Drosophila melanogaster: one gene and its partners. The protein of the gene in region 3 purifies or fractionates together with the protein of the main gene of each other region. This does not show direct contact. Each region holds a gene or a part of one and is shown on either strand. Other genes may lie near its edges. The genes, in order: levy, COX5A, cype and COX4.

Evidence for each region.
Region 1: the proteins of cype (region 3) and levy fractionate together in Drosophila melanogaster (co-fractionation; one study listed by BioGRID). This does not show direct contact.
Region 2: the proteins of cype (region 3) and COX5A fractionate together in Drosophila melanogaster (co-fractionation; one study listed by BioGRID). This does not show direct contact.
Region 4: the proteins of cype (region 3) and COX4 fractionate together in Drosophila melanogaster (co-fractionation; one study listed by BioGRID). This does not show direct contact.

The regions. Positions count from the first base shown.
Region 1 is NT_033778.4:23,545,949-23,550,230, reverse strand, and holds levy (levy), read right to left. Parts: upstream 1,993-4,282; 5' UTR 1,942-1,992; coding exon 1,845-1,941; intron 1,694-1,844; coding exon 1,461-1,693; 3' UTR 1,249-1,460; downstream 1-1,248. Other genes in the region: pita, read left to right, coding at 1-283, 340-1,140; wmd (wing morphogenesis defect), read left to right, coding at 2,621-2,741, 4,240-4,282.
Region 2 is NT_033777.3:11,816,984-11,821,764, reverse strand, and holds COX5A (cytochrome c oxidase subunit 5A), read right to left. Parts: upstream 2,407-4,781; 5' UTR 2,363-2,406; exon of another isoform or gene 2,345-2,362; intron 2,218-2,344; 5' UTR 2,121-2,217; exon of another isoform or gene 2,055-2,120; 5' UTR 2,054-2,054; coding exon 1,604-2,053; 3' UTR 1,466-1,603; downstream 1-1,465. Other genes in the region: Kyat (kynurenine aminotransferase), read left to right, coding at 1-485, 545-1,357; glo (glorund), read left to right, coding at 2,823-3,192, 3,628-3,759, 4,427-4,571. UniProt on the Drosophila melanogaster protein: Component of the cytochrome c oxidase, the last enzyme in the mitochondrial electron transport chain which drives oxidative phosphorylation.
Region 3 is NT_033779.5:5,324,669-5,328,885, forward strand, and holds cype (cyclope), read left to right. Parts: upstream 1-2,558; 5' UTR 2,559-2,618; intron 2,619-2,620; exon of another isoform or gene 2,621-2,682; intron 2,683-2,834; 5' UTR 2,835-2,838; coding exon 2,839-3,008; intron 3,009-3,075; coding exon 3,076-3,139; 3' UTR 3,140-3,301; downstream 3,302-4,217. Other genes in the region: Ncoa6 (nuclear receptor coactivator 6), read right to left, coding at 58-241, 1,284-1,298; CG14022 (uncharacterized protein), read right to left, coding at 3,407-3,521, 3,585-3,711, 3,902-3,965.
Region 4 is NT_033779.5:19,956,560-19,961,409, reverse strand, and holds COX4 (cytochrome c oxidase subunit 4), read right to left. Parts: upstream 2,698-4,850; 5' UTR 2,642-2,697; intron 2,579-2,641; exon of another isoform or gene 2,144-2,578; 5' UTR 2,131-2,143; coding exon 1,719-2,130; intron 1,660-1,718; coding exon 1,523-1,659; 3' UTR 1,345-1,522; downstream 1-1,344. Other genes in the region: CG34051 (uncharacterized protein), read left to right, coding at 384-556, 629-751, 817-1,005, 1,060-1,246; sick (sickie), read right to left, coding at 3,958-4,077, 4,139-4,618, 4,684-4,850.

The DNA of each region.
Region 1 (4,282 bases), on a different chromosome or scaffold from region 3:
CTTCTCCAAGTACGACCTGGCCAAGCACAACTTTGTGCACACCGGCGAGCGGCCATTCAAGTGCGCCATCTGCTCGAAAGCCTTCACACGGAAGGCATTGCTCCATCGCCACGAGCGCACCCACACGGACGTACCCAAGTTCATCTGCGTGTACTGCGAGAAGCCCTTCCTTTCGCGCCAGGAGATGGAGAAGCACGCCGAGCGACATCAGAAGAAGCGTCCGTTCCAATGCGGTGTCTGCACCAAGTCGTTTGCCTTCAAGCAGGGATTGGAGCGTCATGAGGTGGGTTGACAAGCATATTTGGGATTGCCCCGGCTAACGATTATGTCCACTTTCAGACAGTCCACTCCACCAATCTTCCCTTCCCCTGTCAGCATTGCGAGAGAAGCTTTTCCACCGCTTCCAAGCTGGCCCGCCACCTGGTTGCCCACGCCGGGAAGAGAGCCTATCCCTGCAAGTACTGCCACAAGTCCTACATGCTGTCGCATCATCTCTCGCGCCACCTGCGCACGCACACGCAGACTTCCGACGCCTCGTTCGTGTGCAGTGAGTGCAAGGTGTCGTACAGCAACTATAACGACCTACTGGATCATGCGCTCATTCATGCCACCGCCAGCCTGAAATGTCCCATGTGTCGCAAGCAGATCGAAGATATCGACAGTGTCGAGAGCCACATGGACCAGCACAAGCAGAGCGAGCGCCATGCCTGCGAGTTCTGTGACCACATCTTCTTGACGCAGAAATGCCTGCAGCGCCACATCGAGGACGATCATGTGGTGGAAATGGAGCCGTACCAGAACGAGTTCGAAGACGACGGCGAAGGAGAAGGCGGCGTCGATGAGAAGGAGGAACATCTTGACGATTTTGAAGACATGGACAATGTGAAGCAGGAAGAATTCGTGACGGAATACTTAGAAGACGATGCTCTCTATGAGGACCACCTAGACGATAGCGACGAATCCTTCACGCCGCCGCCTCCAAAGCAGCGTAAAACCAATCCTCCCAAGGATGCCCAGCAATCCGTGCGCCAAACTCGCAGTCGGGATGCTCAAAGAATCACTCAGAAGACAGGAAAGAACGAAGGCAAGCCTCATCACAAACTGGAACGCAACCTTAAGAATCGCCGATCCGCAAAATAATGATAGTAGTTGAATATATTGCATGCGAAAAGTGCATCCGTGCTTATGCTTAAATTTAAATTCTATTTAATTGTAACTTTTAATTTTTCCTTTAACCGAAGGCCTTTTAAATAAACTCCTCACCAGAATTCCGCTGTCGCTCATTGAAATGGTCTTTATGGGATCTCTCCTCGCTCTAATTTGATCTTTATTGAAGCGCCAACTGGAGTTTGGGTATATGTGTTTTCTGTGTATTTCCGCGTAAAGTTCAGTTTACATTAACGTCTATCACTACCAAACAACGAATACATCCCGCAGAGGGAACCGGAGACGGTGGCCACCTAGTGCTCGTAGCCGTCGGGCAGGGCGTTAACGTGGGGGTTGTGGAACAGGCTCTTCTGGCCCTCACCCCAGGGGAAGCGCTTCTCGCGGCGGCGCAGGTAGTCGTACTTGACGAACTCCTGGCGGGGCTTGTCGTGCTCCTCCTGGTGCTTCAGGTAGGCGTTCAGCATGCACAGTCCCACGGCGGGCACGGCCACGAAGAAGGACAGGCGCTTCCACACCTTGTAGCCACCTGAAGGATGAGAGATGAGATGAGCATGAAAGGATGTGTTATAAGAGCGAATCCTTCTCCACCAATCGATCTTGCCCAATGGTAAATTACATAACCTTAACCTTACAAAAGGGGATGAATTTGGCAATTGGGACGCTGGACGGTCACTTACCAGAGTGCTCGCCGGCCACGGCGGCGGTGCCGGACATATTCCGGGCGGCAGAAGCGCCGAATTGGCGGCGAATTGCGTGGTTTAGAATAGCGGACATATTTTCAGTCGATTCTTGGCCCGAATGAAAATTTGCTGTTTTGACAAGTAAATAGGGATGGGCTACATCCATAATGTCGTGACTCGTTCGCTAAATTATATCGATAGTGGTTGGCCGTGATTTCTAAATTACGTACAACAAAGCTGTTAATTGGCTTAATATAAATAAAAAACAAAATAAAACAATTCTATGCCAAATTGTAAATAAGTAATTTGACATTTTTCCTTTGTATCCTCCCCTGGCTGCCGTGACACAGCTCTAGCTAATCGAGAAGTTATCGCCTCACGCGCCCACCGCTGACGATAGGTAGGTACTGTGTGTGCGGACTATCGAGGCTGGAGTCGGCTACCAATCGTCCATCCACAACAACAACGTGTCGCGTAATTATTTTCCCCTCTTGTTTATAAAATTCAGTGCATCAGATTGTAAATACACTGCACACCCTGCAAAGCCACCGCAGCATCTCGAACCTAAGCAACGAACGGGAAAATCATTATCGTACGGGCAGTGAAGCGCAGTTAACCAGGAGCAACAACCAATCCAAGTACAAAGTAGCCACAAAACGTCAGTTATTCACTAAGTGCACAGTTCGCCAGCGGACATAACGGTCGCTACACTCGGAGAAAACCACAAGTATTAAGGACCACACAGTCCACCAATCCACTAGCAGCCCACTGCCATGGCCGCCAACAACTTGCGACAAATCCCGCTGACCTGCAGTGGCCACACGCGACCCGTGGTCCACCTGGACTTCAGCGACATCTGCGACGCCGGCTACTTTCTCATCTCGGCCTGCAAAGGTAAGGTCCGCGGGATCGGGCAGCCAGTCGCATGCGATTAGCCGTCCTTGCGCGCTATTTATACACCACTTTCCGTCGTCGCACAGTGGTTGTCATAATCATACGATGGGGTTAAAATCGGAAGTGTCAGTCACTGACGAACTGGGACACAACGCAGATTCCGTAAGAATTGGATTTAACTAGTGTTTCTATATAGACAGTGTTCATTTGCAATAGTTTAATGTCTATACAGCAAGTTTCCTGGTAAAAACAGGCAGTTACTTTTGCTTATTGGTCAAATTTGTAGTATAGTTTTGTAGGAAGGGCAAATAATGTTTTACCCAGAAGGCCATGTCGAAAAACAAGTTATGTTGTCCGTGTTCTTTGACGGATCGTTATGTTCGTGGGAAAGGTGCTGCAACAGAGCGGCATGGAATCACATGAACTACAGGCGGGCCAGCACGGTGTAGCATCATGTCTAGCCTGTGGGAAACCTTGACCCAAATGCAAAGTCACTCATCGCGAGCGAAACCTGTTTTCTGCGAGTGCGAAACCCTTTTGCCTGCCGCCACTCGCATGCTACAAAACTCGCATTCTTTGCCTTGAGGTGTCAGCCAGTCGATGCGATTGCAATTGCCATGGCAGTTGCAATTCGCAATTCGTTAGCTATTGCCTGTTTTTTACAGGCACTTTGCATTCGTGGCTTTCGCAAATGTTGCTTTTATGCGGAAAGAGCGCTCGTTCCCACTGCAAGTTCAAGTTGACTTCGTTATCGCCTTTTAACGTACTCGCTTCCCCTTGTTTAGCAACTTTTCGAAACTGCTCGTTCAGGAAGCACCTTGGAACTTCTATATTTATATGCTGTGTGTATATGCAGCTGCCGTTTGTCTGCCGCCTGGAAGATTCTGCTTGCTGGATACACTCTCCCGATCCCGATCCGCTGCAATTTATTCGGATACAGCATCTAATGTGGGCTTAATTCGTGCGGTTCTCACTGCGATGAATCATTCCAAGTTTAAGGCCACAGTAATTGTATAAATTAGAATGGGAAATTACATAGTATATATTACATTATTAAGTGCTCTTGTTAGAAAACCTTTCTCTGCAAAGTTAAACTAATAGAGTTCCTATACAAAAGTGAAGTAGCAGGCAAACATTAGTAGAAGTCCTTGAAATGGCGAGAGTTGTGGGTGATCATTTATCACACACATAGAATGCATTGATGATGTAGCTCTGAACGAACTAACAAGCCGCGTCCCTGCACTGCACTGCACTGCAATGCAGCACCCTGCATCCCGATCCCGTTGAGCGCGACAGTGCAGTGCGGTGCGGTGCGGTGATAGTGACGTGAACTTGGGAGCTCGCTTGCATGATTGCGAGCGGCAGGCGGCCAGGTCGTTGGCCTTGGCGGCAGGCATTGAGTCAAGGTGGCTTCCGTGCGCTAATTTATGCACGCACGCTCGGCGGCGGGCGAAAGCGAATGCAACTGACCGAGAATCGTGTATTGTGAATCTTGCAGATGGCAGCCCGATGCTGCGGCACGGCGACACCGGCGACTGGGT
Region 2 (4,781 bases), on a different chromosome or scaffold from region 3:
AGTTCCAGTTGCAAGCCCTTCGTCACCAGCAGACTGCCATTAAAATGGAGAAATTCGATCTGCCCAAGCGATTGCAGGGTAGCACGCCCAGCGTCTGGAACGAGTACATTGCCCTGGCCATGCAATATAAGCCCCTGAACTTGGGACAGGGATTTCCCGATGATGCCGCTCCCGAGTACGTGACCCACTCGTTGGCCGACATTGCCAAGGAGCAGAATCCTCTTCTGCATCAGTACACTCGCGGTTACGGTCACGTTCGCCTGGTCAATGCGCTATCCAAGCTCTATAGCGGTCTCGTCGGCAAGGAGCTAAATCCCCTCAGCGACATACTGATTACCTCAGGCGCCTATGAGGCTCTCTACTCCACCATCATGGGCCATGTGGACGTGGGCGACGAGGTGATCATTATTGAACCATTCTTTGATTGCTACGAGCCTATGGTCAAGATGGCCGGTGGAGTGCCCCGCTTTGTTCCCCTAAAATTGGTAAGAACCACAATAGAAAAAAAAAATATATCCCTCTTTTTAACATGTCTAACTTCTAGCGCAAGACAGAGGGACCAATAAGCTCTGCCGATTGGGTGCTAGATGACGCTGAGTTCGAGAGTCTGTTCAACTCTAAAACAAAGATGATTATCCTAAACACGCCCCACAACCCTATTGGAAAGGTCTTCAACCGGAAAGAGCTAGAGAGGATAGCCGAGCTCTGCCGCAAGTGGAATGTGCTGTGCGTCTCGGACGAGGTGTATGAGTGGTTGGTGTTCGACGGAGCCGAGCACATCCGTATCTGCACGCTGCCGGGCATGTGGGATCGCACCATTACTCTGGGATCAGCGGGCAAGACCTTCTCAGTAACTGGTTGGAAAATAGGCTGGGCCTACGGACCCGCTGAACTGATTCGAAACCTGCAGATGGTGCATCAGAACTCTGTGTACACCTGTCCAACGCCGCTCCAGGAGGGCGTCGCACGCAGTTTCGAGGTAGAACTGGCCCGTTTGGGTCAGCCGGAGAGCTACTTCCTTAGCCTGCCGCGCGAGCTGAAGCAGAAGCGTGACTTCATGGCCAAGTTCCTGTCCGAATCCGGTATGCGTCCCACCATTCCTGAGGGTGGCTACTTTATGCTGGCAGACTGGTCACCACTGGCGGGCAAGATTGATCTAAGCTCTGAGCCAGACAAGCATCGGGATTACAAGTTTACCAAGTGGATGACCAAGAACATGGGCTTGCAGGGCATACCGCCAAGTGCCTTCTACAGCGAACCCAACAAACATCTGGGGGAGGACTTTGTGCGCTACTGCTTCATCAAGAAGCAAGAGAACCTGGATAAGGCGGCCGAACTGCTGTCCAAATGGAAATAGTCGCCGGACAATAAACGAATTGCTATCAGCCGCTTTGTTTATCTCTGCCCGAATGCAGTTCCCTAACCTGGGTGTTACGTAACCAACAGGGAAAACAACCTTGTGCTGGTGTGGTAGCCTTACTGCAATCTCCATTTATTAGCAATCCAACAACATGTTCATCCGCACCATACATTGGATAGTAGGTAGCTAGTGTCGCTGTAACGTGTATATTGTGTTCTGTGTTTTTAAACTAGTGTTCTCCGCTTAGGCATCGTACACGGACTTCAGGGCCAATTCGGGCTTGTCGTAGCCCAGTTCCTCGATGGTTGGGATGCCCAGCTCCTGCAGTGTGGGGGTGATCTTCTCCAGCAAGTAGGGATAGAGGGTGGCCTTTTGGTCGCCGCACTTGTCCTTGCATCCCTCCAGCCACCTGATGGCCAGTGCAATGTCGTTGACGCGACGGCTGGCACGCAGACCGGCCTCGATGATCTTGGGGCTGGGCACCAGATCCATGCCCAGCAGATCGTTCATGCCCTTGCGGATCTCCCAGCCATCGATGCCCTCACGGCTGAAGTACTTCTCGTAGCGCTTGTCGAACTCCTCCGCCGATTCCTCGGTTCCGTGCAGACAGCGCACGGCGGCCACGCGCGACGATGTGCCGACGAGGCTGCTGCGGAGGGCGCTTGCCAGGTTACGGGCCGTGATGCTCAACATGCTGCCGTTAAAAACAGTAAAATGCTTGTTAATTGCAAAAATTTGGTTAAGTAACAGCTCGACTCACTTTTCTTGTTCTTGCTACTTTTCACACGGGTATGACAGATCTGAGTGATGGTTGGCAACACTGGCTTTTCCAGGGATGGACACGTTTATAACTGTCGCTGTCACGGAACAGTGAGATATTTAAAATGTTTCTGCTTCAGTATATTTCAAATTCGGGTAAGATCACAGTTAGTTTATCATTTTCCTTATATTTAATTTCTTCTATCTTGCCCAAAAAAAGCAAAAAAAAAATCAAAATCAAACCTTGTTTCTTTTTCAACGGTCCACATTGATGCTGGCTACTGCCAGGCGGTATTTTTTGATGATTTAATTGCGGTCACACTGCATCTTCAACTTGACGCGTGCTATTTGATTAATCTCTCTGAAAAATAAGTCAAATTAACCGATAAAGTTTAAAAAAAGGCGATATTGGAAGTTGAAACAGAGCAGAATACGGTTAGTTCTCTGTTCCGCCACCAGGTGTGACATTTAGAAGCGTTTATATTGTGTACGAGACTTGCAAAATGTCATAAGCAATTAGGGGTGACAAGAAATCAAAATGGCGTACGCGGTGCAAAAAAGAATCGCACCAAACAAGCGTCGCTGCTGAGTGGAGAATCACTAGCTCAAAAAATCGCATTTTCAGCCAGTAAAAAACAATTAAAACTAGTTAACCAGTGACTAATCGTTGTAACACCATTTGCAGGTAGAGATCTGGTGAAAAATGTCCAACGCAGACGTGCAATTTAACTACGGCCAGCAGGGAAATGGCGACAACTTCAACGACGACAGCAACCAGCAGCAGGATGAGGATGACCAGTACAACGAAGATGGCGGCGGCAAGATCGAAAACGTCGGCGAGAGCCCCAAATTCGTTCGGTTGCGCGGCCTGCCCTGGTCCGCAACGCACAAGGAGATACTCGACTTTCTGGAAAACGTGAATGTGACTAATGGCTCGGCGGGCATTCACCTGGTCACCAGTCGGGTCGACGGCAAGAACACCGGCGAGGCGTACGTGGAGGTGGCCAGCCAGGAGGACGTCGAAGAGGCTCGCAAGCTGAACAAGGCCAGCATGGGTCACCGCTACATTGAAGGTTTGTTTATTTGCCACTTGAGTGGGGGATGACTGTACCTGATGACTATCTTGGCAGTTATAGTTAGTTTCTTCTCACTTTGTTTATATGTTTATCCTTTTAACAAGCTTGAACTTGTTCTGATTCCATACATGGAATCGAAGATGATTTATTTCTTCATTGTTTTGCTACTTATACTGGTAGCGCTTATTTTCTTTTCATTCATTGTGGAATTTTACCTAATATTAAGGAGGTTTTACAAATATGTCACTGTATTGTTACTCTTATCCTTGCTTCTATCGAGGTAAACTAAAATTTAGTAAAGTAAATTTCACACCACCATTTATAATCTGTATTCATGTTAATTCTTATCTTAATAACAAACACAAAATGGTGCAGAAAACTTGTTTGTTTTTTTTCCGTTTTAACTGATGTAATTGGTTTTTATTTCTTTAGTTTTTACCGCCACGCCCAAGGAGGCCAAGGAAGCCATGCGGAAGATCAGCGGACACGGCACGGCCTTCGTTGTGAAGCTTCGTGGTCTGCCATATGCCGTCACTGAGCAGCAAATCGAGGAGTTCTTCTCTGGTAAGTTTCCTGACCCAAATCCTCTTTCCATACTAATATGTACCAGGTACCAGGAAAAAAGACAGTGGTTGACCGCATGTATTATTTGTTCACATCGTTGAGATATGGCCTACGGTCCCCTTTCATCTACACCTTTCATATATCAATTACACATGCGTTTCAACGTACATACATATTGTCGGGCAAAGAAATGCAGGCCCTTGCATTTGTGTAATGGGTTCGGCGGTTCACGCGGCTCCTTCCAAAGTCAACGGCTGAGAGTTGACGCGGTCACGTCCGCTTGTCCGATAAATCATTCCTTCGTTGGTCACATAACCCAGTTTACTTGGTTATATGGTCGATCATTACTCACAACCTTCAACTGAGCTACACATGTCTACGAGTTACAGGATCTGAGTTTTGTAATACATTGTGGTCCGGGAAACTCGATTGCAACAGTCGCATCTTGCCTGGTGATCATAGTTTGACTAAAAGGCACTGTTTATTTATGCAAACGTTGCTAATACCGTGAGAACCTGCAAAAGTTCTGCGGTGTTGGAACTAAACAATAACATTTATCAACCTCTGTATTTCTGTTTTTCTATCTAAGCTTAACCTTGCATAATGTATATATATATATGAAATCTATATATTTGTATAAATCTTTGTTGGTTATCGTCATGGGCAGGGTTGGATATCAAAACGGATCGGGAGGGCATACTTTTTGTTATGGACAGAAGGGGTCGTGCAACTGGGGAAGCTTTTGTTCAGTTCGAAAGCCAGGACGACACTGAGCAAGCCTTGGGCCGAAATCGGGAAAAAATTGGGCACAGGTGGGTTTCTAATTCATCATATCTTCTACAACAAAAACAGCGAAATTAAAACATTAAGTGGTAATCGATTGCGAACTTGTTGAAACACACAAGGACTATACAATTATTCACAAAATATTTAATAACTTTTATCACAAATAATTTCTATTTCAGTAACTGAGAAATCATTTAGCAAAAAATTTTCCCATAGCTACGGGTCTGGTGGGGCTC
Region 3 (4,217 bases):
GGTAGGGATTACTCAGGTTAATTGCTCGTTTAGTGGACATTTGTTGCCATTACTCACCCTTGGTTATCTTAATATCTTGTCCACCAACTTTCAAATTTATCACAGAATCGCCCTCGAATTGCACTGACTGAATGTTGAGGGCGCGCAGCTCCGGATTTCCATCGTTGGCCAGCTGGCGCAGCCGTTGTGCTGCGTCCCAGGGTAGCGAGACCAATATCCGCACCAGTGACGGTTCAAGCTGCTGCAAAGTGGCACACATGTGAGACATTTTGCAAATTTACAACATTTAATTAACATTTAAGGAGCCGTATAGGAAGAGAAAGAAGAAGAGGGATAGTGAAATTGCTGGCGATGGCCACTATTTTGTTATCGATATCTATGCAGCGAGAGTTTGCAGCCCTGGTTTACGACACGCAAACATAGAAACGCCTAATTTATGGCCAAACACAATTCCAAACCTTAATTATTTAACTTATAATTTACCTTCACTAGATCTGCCATACTTGAATCTAATTATTTTTATATATTGCATATGTTATTTGCATTTCTCGTTTTGTTTTTGACCCTGCGGTCTCTGGCGCTAGAGCAGGATGGCCATAGGGCACTCGTTGGAAATTCCAACAACAATTTGTTTCGACAACAGTCCCCAAAGATAATGCGCTTGAATTGAGTAACCCAAAAGACAATTCAGCTGACTGCATTTTCCACGCGCGGCATGCCAAAAGGGGGCGGAGCGGGTCGGGGCAGCTGGTGCCCACAGGTTGCATTTTCTCATGCGTGCGTGCGTTTTCCTTTTCTCTCTGCGGGACGTGTTATCGATACCCCGACGTCGTCGCCATTTTTCTTCTTGGCCTCTTGGAAGGCGGTGCGCCGGTGTGCGTGCTTGCTCGTGTACGTGTGCTGGTTGGGCAAGTGTGTGTGTGTGGCAGAGGGAAAAGGTAACCAAAATACTTGCTTGGCACTAAGGCGGGGGGTAAAAAGGGGGCGGGCTGATTAATAAAATAAAAAAGGGGGAACCGAAAAAGAGAGATGAAAAAATAAACACGGGAAATGCGAGATTCTATACACTCGAAGCCAACCAATTAGTTCACCCTTTTCGCCGCCTATTGTTTTTGTTTTTATACCCGTCTCTGAGTGCGTGGGTGACGCAAGTGTAAAATGAGCAAAAGCGATGGCAAAAACAGACAAGAAAAGGGGGGAAAAAGAAGCCCACTTGAAGTGCAATAATCGCAAATCAGCTGTTCCGTTGCGCTCCACCAAAAAGCGAAACACGATAAACTCACCTGTTTAAGTGGCATATCATCACACGACAATCGCACGCGTCGTAGGTTTAATTGTTAGAACGCTGCTCAATTCTCGCATTTAGCTTTCGATTGACCGCCGTGGCGTCCTTTGGATTGAAATTGTTGGACCAATTGCATTATAGGCTTGACACTCGATGGCTTCGGTTTATTGTCTTTCGATGTAATCCGCACTCAGTTTTTAACCTCTGCGACTTGGGTTTTTGGGCATTTTCCACTATTATTTTTTTCTCTTCTCCCCTTTTGCTTTTTACTTTTTTTTTTAGTAGTAGCCTCACCAACACACACACTCACATGCACTGCAACACACACACTCACACACACACACGTGCGGGGCGCGGATACGGATTTTCCTGCGTCACTTTTCAAGCGCTTTTCCTGCTGGAAATCTTGCGTGCCCGCTTTTCAATTGTTGTTTAGGGCAAACTGAATACGTTTGGGCCCCCACTGTTCTCCATTTCACAATCGCTGGCCAAATAGTAATGCCTGTTTAGCGGAACTCGAAAATTTTCACGCATTCGGGCAGCCGATTTTCGGGGGCTTAATTTCACACGGTTCGATTGCGTGCGGGCACTTGATAAACGCACTGATTGCTGTCGAAAGATTCGCGCTTGTTTTTCAACCATCAATTGGCGTTGCAACGATGCGTTTATCCTGTTTATTTTGTACAAAAAACTTCGTAATTATTAAATTTCCACGAACAATAACAAGCACACAGTGGTAGCCATTTTTATTTTCCAGCCGGTGTTGCCAGACGTCCGCGGCCCGAAATTCCCTAAATTTCCCGACATATTTGTGGTTACCAGGGCTGCGAAGTAGCCTGTATTGGAAATTTGGCTCGAGCAGAGTTGTCAATTGTTTGGAAATTGTAATTTTATTTAATTAGTGCTAATAAATTTATAAATAAATTGTATTGCTATATTGTCTTTTATTTTTAAACATGTTTAGCAATCATAAATATAATGGTAACATAATTTGAACATGTTCAATATATAAATTTCATTCACAAATATTTTTCCTGCTTTAAACTATTGATTTTAGCTGGCCTCATAGCTTCCAGATGAAAAATTTGAAAAGTTATTACTTAACACACTTTTCTCTTAATTCTGCGTATTTAGCCTCAAAATCATTTTATTATTAAATGAAATGATTCTGTCAAATTGTCTAGGAGTGCTTTTTAATATATATTTTTATTATTTATTTTCCAAAGATCAATCGATAATTTCGCGAATGCTGCCACCTTCTTCGAATAAACGATAGTATTGAATAGAATTTGTTTTAGGTTCCATCTCTATCTCAGATTCTGAATTTGCAAATGTGAGTACATAACAAGGTTTTTCTTTAAAAAACACGGTTCAAGGGGTTTTGGAACTTAAAAAAAGTAATTAAATATCATACCAGTTGGCCATATCAACTCCATAAATTTCTGGGGAGAATTCATTAGTTGCTATGCGTTTAATGGCAGCTGCCTTTGAGCACCTTACGTAACTACCGAGCAATATAATTGATTTTTGTGATTTTCATTCTTTTCAGCGACATGGCCAACACTCCAGCCACCTCCTCTGCCGGACCCGTGCTCCGTGGCCTCCACAATGCCACCATCAAGCGCAACCTGGCCGTTTCCCTGGGCCTGACCGCCGTGGTGACCATCGCCTACAAAATTCTGGTCAACGATCCCAAGAAGGCCGCCTACGCCGACTTCTACTCGTAAATATAGCTTAACTATGCCACATGAATGTCATCATCTGATCTGTTTTATCCATTATCCCTGCAGGAAGTACGATGCCAACAAGTCCTTCGAGCGCATGAAGGCCGCCGGTCGTTTCCAGTCCTGCTAGGCTATGTTATCCCAAAACACAAGTAGTCTAAGTCAAATGATGTTGTAGAACAAGAGTTGCGCTTCTGTATTGAAAACTAAATAGATTTCAGTCTACGTACGTGCACGAAGGCGTTTTAATTTAGAGCTATCTTGTATTGCCAGCAAAAGTAAATGTGAAGGCAAATTATGATTAAATTCTTTATTATTTACTCGTATTTACAAACTTAGCCAAGTAATGCACAAAACAAACACACAAAACTATAAGGCCACACAAACCGGACCACATCTAAAACCTAATGGCAAAGTCCTTGTAGTCCAGTCGGCTGAGATTGCCCTGGTTCCGGACCTCACAGCGATCGATTTGGCAGCCGGGTGAGCCCTCAGTGGACAGCCAGGTGATCCTAAGAGTAGATTTAATCAGAAAATATTAGCATGGAGAGTGTAAACTATTCCGGTTTACTCACATCTTGTCCACCTCCTCCTTGGGCCCCTGCATCTTGCCCACAATGGTGCCCTGTTTGCTGTTCTTCACCCAGCCAGTGATTCCCGCCTTGGTGCAGCGATCGCGGGTGTCTTTCGTGAGATTCAGGCCTGCCGGTCGAAAAAAGCAATGGTATATGTTTTATATAGTCTCTAGTGCATGTGGAATGGGGCGTGAAACAAAGCCAAGGACAGTTTGGGGCCCCAAAGTAACTAGCTACTGAGGGTTTATTTTTAGGCAACCATTCGAGAGAGCTATGCTATGCTTGATTCCCGATTCCTATTTCCCATGAAACCACACCTTGTACATGTCCATAGACCTCGAAATCCAGCGTCACCAGCAGTCGGATATCCGGAATGCCCATTTCGATCGATTTCGATTTGGTTATGTAAATTTGGCAGCAAACTGGTCGTTATTTTAGAATTTCCTGATTTTATCACTTTACTCGCACTTGAAAAAGCCCTGCAACCTGGTTTATATTCTATGCAGACTTGAATCCCCAATTAAGCATATATATTTTTTGAAAATTATTTTACTCGAAGCGATTTTTTCCGCCGCGATCGCTAGCTTGATTTTCAACAAACCGTCGCAAATTTAAAACTAAAATGCCAAGTAG
Region 4 (4,850 bases), about 15 Mb from region 3:
TACTTATGGCCCGTTGCAAAGTCGTTCACAGGGCCATAATGCCTCGGATCTCGCCAGACAATGGGAAGCGGAAGCCTTGTTCATCATATCAATGGATCACTGCTTAATTGAACATTTCCACTGTTCGAATGTGTAAATAATAAATTGAATCGCATTAATTGTTGCTATCCAAGCGATATACATTTCAAATGAGGAGAAATGGATTTTATAAATATAAATTGACCCTTTCTTTAGAATGAGTAACCCCCTTTTAAAAATATGTTGTTTTTTTTTCTATTTTGAGATAAGTGACTAATGGGAAATCGATTGGTTCCATAATACATCTCAGCCCACTTAATTGTGATTTAACGTATAAGTAATTTGTCACTCCACAAACTACAGCCATGGGACCAAGGCTCTATCCCGCTGCGATCCTCATCCTCCATTGCCTGCTGTTGCTCTTCCTCCAGGTGGACAGCAGAGGTAACCAGAACCACACCCAGATGGAAAGACAGCGTCATCTCCGAGCACACAATCTGCACAGGCCTCCATACGATGGATACGATTGGCACAAACAGTAAGATACAGATTCGATCGAGCTGAAGGATATATACACTTTCGAATGGCACCAACCTTTCGCTTTCAATAGCTTTAACCGAGATGCCGAACCAAAGGCGACAGTTGCAAAGGAGAAAGAAGAGAAGACTTTCAAACACAGATCAGGACATTTAAAAAAGATGAAGCAGACAGCTAGGGATATTTCGAACTGGAGGTAGGTGCATCATCTGCATCAAGTATGAATGCTCTGAGATCAAGGAATGCCTGACTTCTTTTCAGCAGAGCTCGGAGCGCCTACCAAAAAGAGACGGCAGAGCTGGAGGAATGGGGTCGAAAGAAGAATATAACTGACAACGAACTGAAGTTATTCTTTGACGGTGAAATTTCTACCAAAGACAAGTACAGATTATTTGGGGACATTCAAACGGTTGTCCAGATCCTGAAAGAGGTGATAAAAAAGGGAGCTGTGTAAGTAGTGTTCGCCTATATGTCTGGCAATGCCTTTGAAATCCGCCTTTTTAGGACCGAAAAAGAGAAAGCAATGATAACGCCGGAACTGAAACCATTGATCTTAAGATTCGGCCGCATGTTTGAAAGGGAATTTGCCAAGAACACAAATGCCTTGGAAGCCTTGCAGATCCTTGTTCATGAGGTTCAAAAATCGAACAGCCGGAACATGAGACATAAGAGTGCTAAAAGGTCTCACTAAGTGGTAATTAAATTGGCTATGCCTGTGGCGATTTTAGTAACGAAAAGTTTGTAATCTACACACTAAAAGGTCTGTTAATAAATCGAATAACAATCATTGCTCTTAAAACGGATCATTGAGGCTGGTTTCCTAGCAGAAACTGATGACTGACCCAAGATCGATTGATTTAGGCAGCAGCCATAACTTTAATTTCGACTATCTTGCTTTTACTTAATACACATAGACGTCGGCTAACTTAATCACACACAATCGCGGAATTATTTAACGACAGCGCACTTAGTTCTTCCACTTCTTGTTCTCGTAGTCCCACTTGGAGGTCAATCCGGTGACGGGGTTGATTTCCAGGTCGATGATGCGCTGCAGCTGCGCCTTCTGGTGCTCCTCATCGAAGGTAACGGGCAGCTCATCGTACACTGAAAGGAAAATGCTCAATAATGGATAGCCGCAAAAGGGAACCGGAAAAATGGCTTACCGAAGATGTTCATCAGTACGGCCACCCAGATGGCGGCGGCGCAGAAGAGGAGTGAAACGCCCAGGTGGAGCTTCCACTCCCCGGATCCAGCCTGGACCTCGGCGATAGTCTGGCAGAAGCTGGCGCGGTACAGGGCCTTGATCTCCTGGGTGCTGAGCTTCTTCCAGTCTCCCTGCTCCTTGGCGCGCAGAGCGTTGATCTCGTTGGTGGGCTCACGGAAGCGCACGGCGGGCAGAGGGTAGTCCACGCGATCCGCGTAGCAGGCGGTGCCGTTCCAGCCGTAGCCAACGATCTCCCGCTTGCCGATCTTGTCCAGTGTGTGGACGGCGGCCACGCTGCCCACCTGGGCACTCTTGGGCAGCTGAGAGGCCAGCTGGCGGAGCACAGCACTGTTGAGTAGTCGCAGGGCCATTTTCTCACAGAGTCTGCAAGGTAGTAAAATGAATATCAATTTATGAGGTATCAGCAGAGGAACATAGGGTCTTGGACCCGCGATAGCCAAATTTCCCACCCGACCAGGCGGTCATCCGTGAATTCTAACGGGTTACGAATTCACCGATATATGGTGCCCACTTAGTTGGAGGTTATGTAACAGCTAGCAGAACTACGTGCCAAGTTATAGAATCTATTTCCATAAAAATCGCATTGTTTTGAGGTTCCTCTACGCCTGTCGCCATATATTTATCCCGATTTCGTGCTGTGTTTGGCATAATATCCGCATAATTCTCCCATTTTTCACAGCCATCACAGATGTTGTGTAATCGGTGGGCGGTTGCATCTACCGGAAAACGGCTTATAAACCGGTGGCAACTGGTTTTCCAATTTATGTCGGCTTGCTTATCCCGCTCGTTGTATTCAATAGCTTTGTGGTCGCAGGTACTTGATATTTTTCGCAATTAATACAATTTTTAAAGCACTTTTACCTACTTTTCTTAGACTTGCTGAACAATGTGACCAGAGGGAATATACAAAACAAAATATATATATGGATGGGTAATTATTGCTCGATATTTTGGTATTTTCATGCAGAGAAGTGTGACCACATCTCGAATGAAAAAATATAAATATTAATATATCGATATATTCAATCGCTAGCAATCGGAATTCGGCGGGGTATTTAAATCTAAATATATTAAAATAAAGAAACAGCAAATAAGGGCAACTATTATGTTTTATTTTATTTCGCAGCATGGTGAAATATTTGGTTTGGTATTTCACATTCTTTTTGTAGTCTGTCCGCGAGAAGAGAAACAACAACAAAACAATTATTGTTCGATATTATATTTTATTTTGATTTGATGTCATATCTCATAAATGCACACATTTAAATTAGACAGAGACACATAATTTGCTTTATCGTATCATATAGTTTGCTGCTTGAGTTTGTATTACATAAGATTATCTTTCGATAGGGATCTGGAGTTCGGAAATTTAGCTATTTTATCGAGGATGGGGCATTACGTATTCACTTTCGCGTATTCCTGTGTTTAAGCGCCGCTTGGCATAATAAATATGTTAATGGTATTTTGCTTTATTGGGCTTTATAAATATGCAATATGTTTGTAACAATATTTAATGATAATTACGCAAATAATTAAACTAAAGTGAAAGCTTTTTCCTTCAACTATACATCTTGTAAATTGGTAGTAGCAAAAACTTATAGCTACATTTACAGTAGAGTTAGGTATTAGTTGCGATTTAATTCATATGATCCGCCGACTCTGGGCTGGGATAAAGGGTATAAAAAGTCTAGACCGTCGGTCAGATTCACACTTAAGCATAGGGGGGACTTGGGGTTAGTTTTCATCTATATGTACAAAAATGAATTCACTCGTCTTATCTCTGTAACATTTCATGTTAGTGAAGTTTCCTTTTCTCAAGATTTGGGTTTTTCGGAAACGCAGCCGGGGTCCTTGCTTTTTGGGATGGTAGTGCTTCGTTATCAGGTTCAGTTTGTGGCTAGGACAATTTGCATTTTTAACAAGTGCGCTAAAAAGTGCAATTTACTCTAGATGGCAGGGAGTGGCTAGAAACGATGATTGGAAAGGTTGGTGACGTGGTGCAAATGGAAAACTCTTGGAACTGCTTTTGAACCTCGCTGCGAAAGTAGTGCAAGAAGTCTCATTTGTGCGGGGGCAAGGATATCTTGGGTGCATATCTTGGACCCTCAGCTGGCGTACTCCTCTCAGTTAGTTCATCTAAATTTGGCATGTACGAAGTGGTTGGTTTCTATAGCTGTTCACTCGGCTCCAGCGGAACTTTCGGGCGTAACATTCGAGTCCAGGCTGGCACAATCGGACTCCTGATCCTGGGCCTCCGAGTAGTTGGCCGCCTCCTGCAGGCGCATCAGCATGTTGAGCTGTTGACGAAACGCCTCATTAGTTGAAAATCAAAGGAGCAATATTAGTCCTGTATCTTACCAAGGGATCCTGTTGGTCACCGTTGGTTAGGGCCACGCCTTCGAGTCCCACATCCTCGGCATTGATTTGCCGTAGTGGAGGCACTGAGTCCGGACCGTATGGCCACGGATAGGAGTTCCTAATGAAGGCGGAGGGGTCGTTCCAGGCACCTCCTCGTCGTCCATAGAGCTGAACTCCCTCGCGCACCGCCTCCACCAAGTATGGCGAGAGGTGGTAGTTCCAGATGTCGGTGAACCACACCTGCGAGTCCTTCAGGTCCATTGGGCAGGCGAGGAATAGCCTCGGCCCAATGGTTACATCACTGGAGCTGTGCACCTCCAGGAATCGGTTGATGTGCTGCCAAACGGAGGGCAACCAGGCCAGCACTGCCGCCAGCTCCGGCTGCGGATGTTGCGTCTGCAGTTCCAGCTGGAAGAGTCGACGCCTCAGGAAGCGACCCAGAAAGCCTTTCACGGGCTCCATGTGATTAGCTGTGAGCACCTGTGAGCAAGTGATAAAGCAAATATGTAATGATCCAATTTGTAAGGTCCATCATCAAAACATACCCATCGGAAATTGTGGTGCAGCTGCAGGTTGGTGGTGTTGCAAGTGGCCTGTGACATGGTGCCAATGATGCAGGGCAGCTTGTTGGCGGGCCCAGCGCTCAGGAGACAGGAGAAGACGTCGCCCAAGGCGGAGGCGTGGTGCAGGTTGTCCAAAATAATCACAGAGG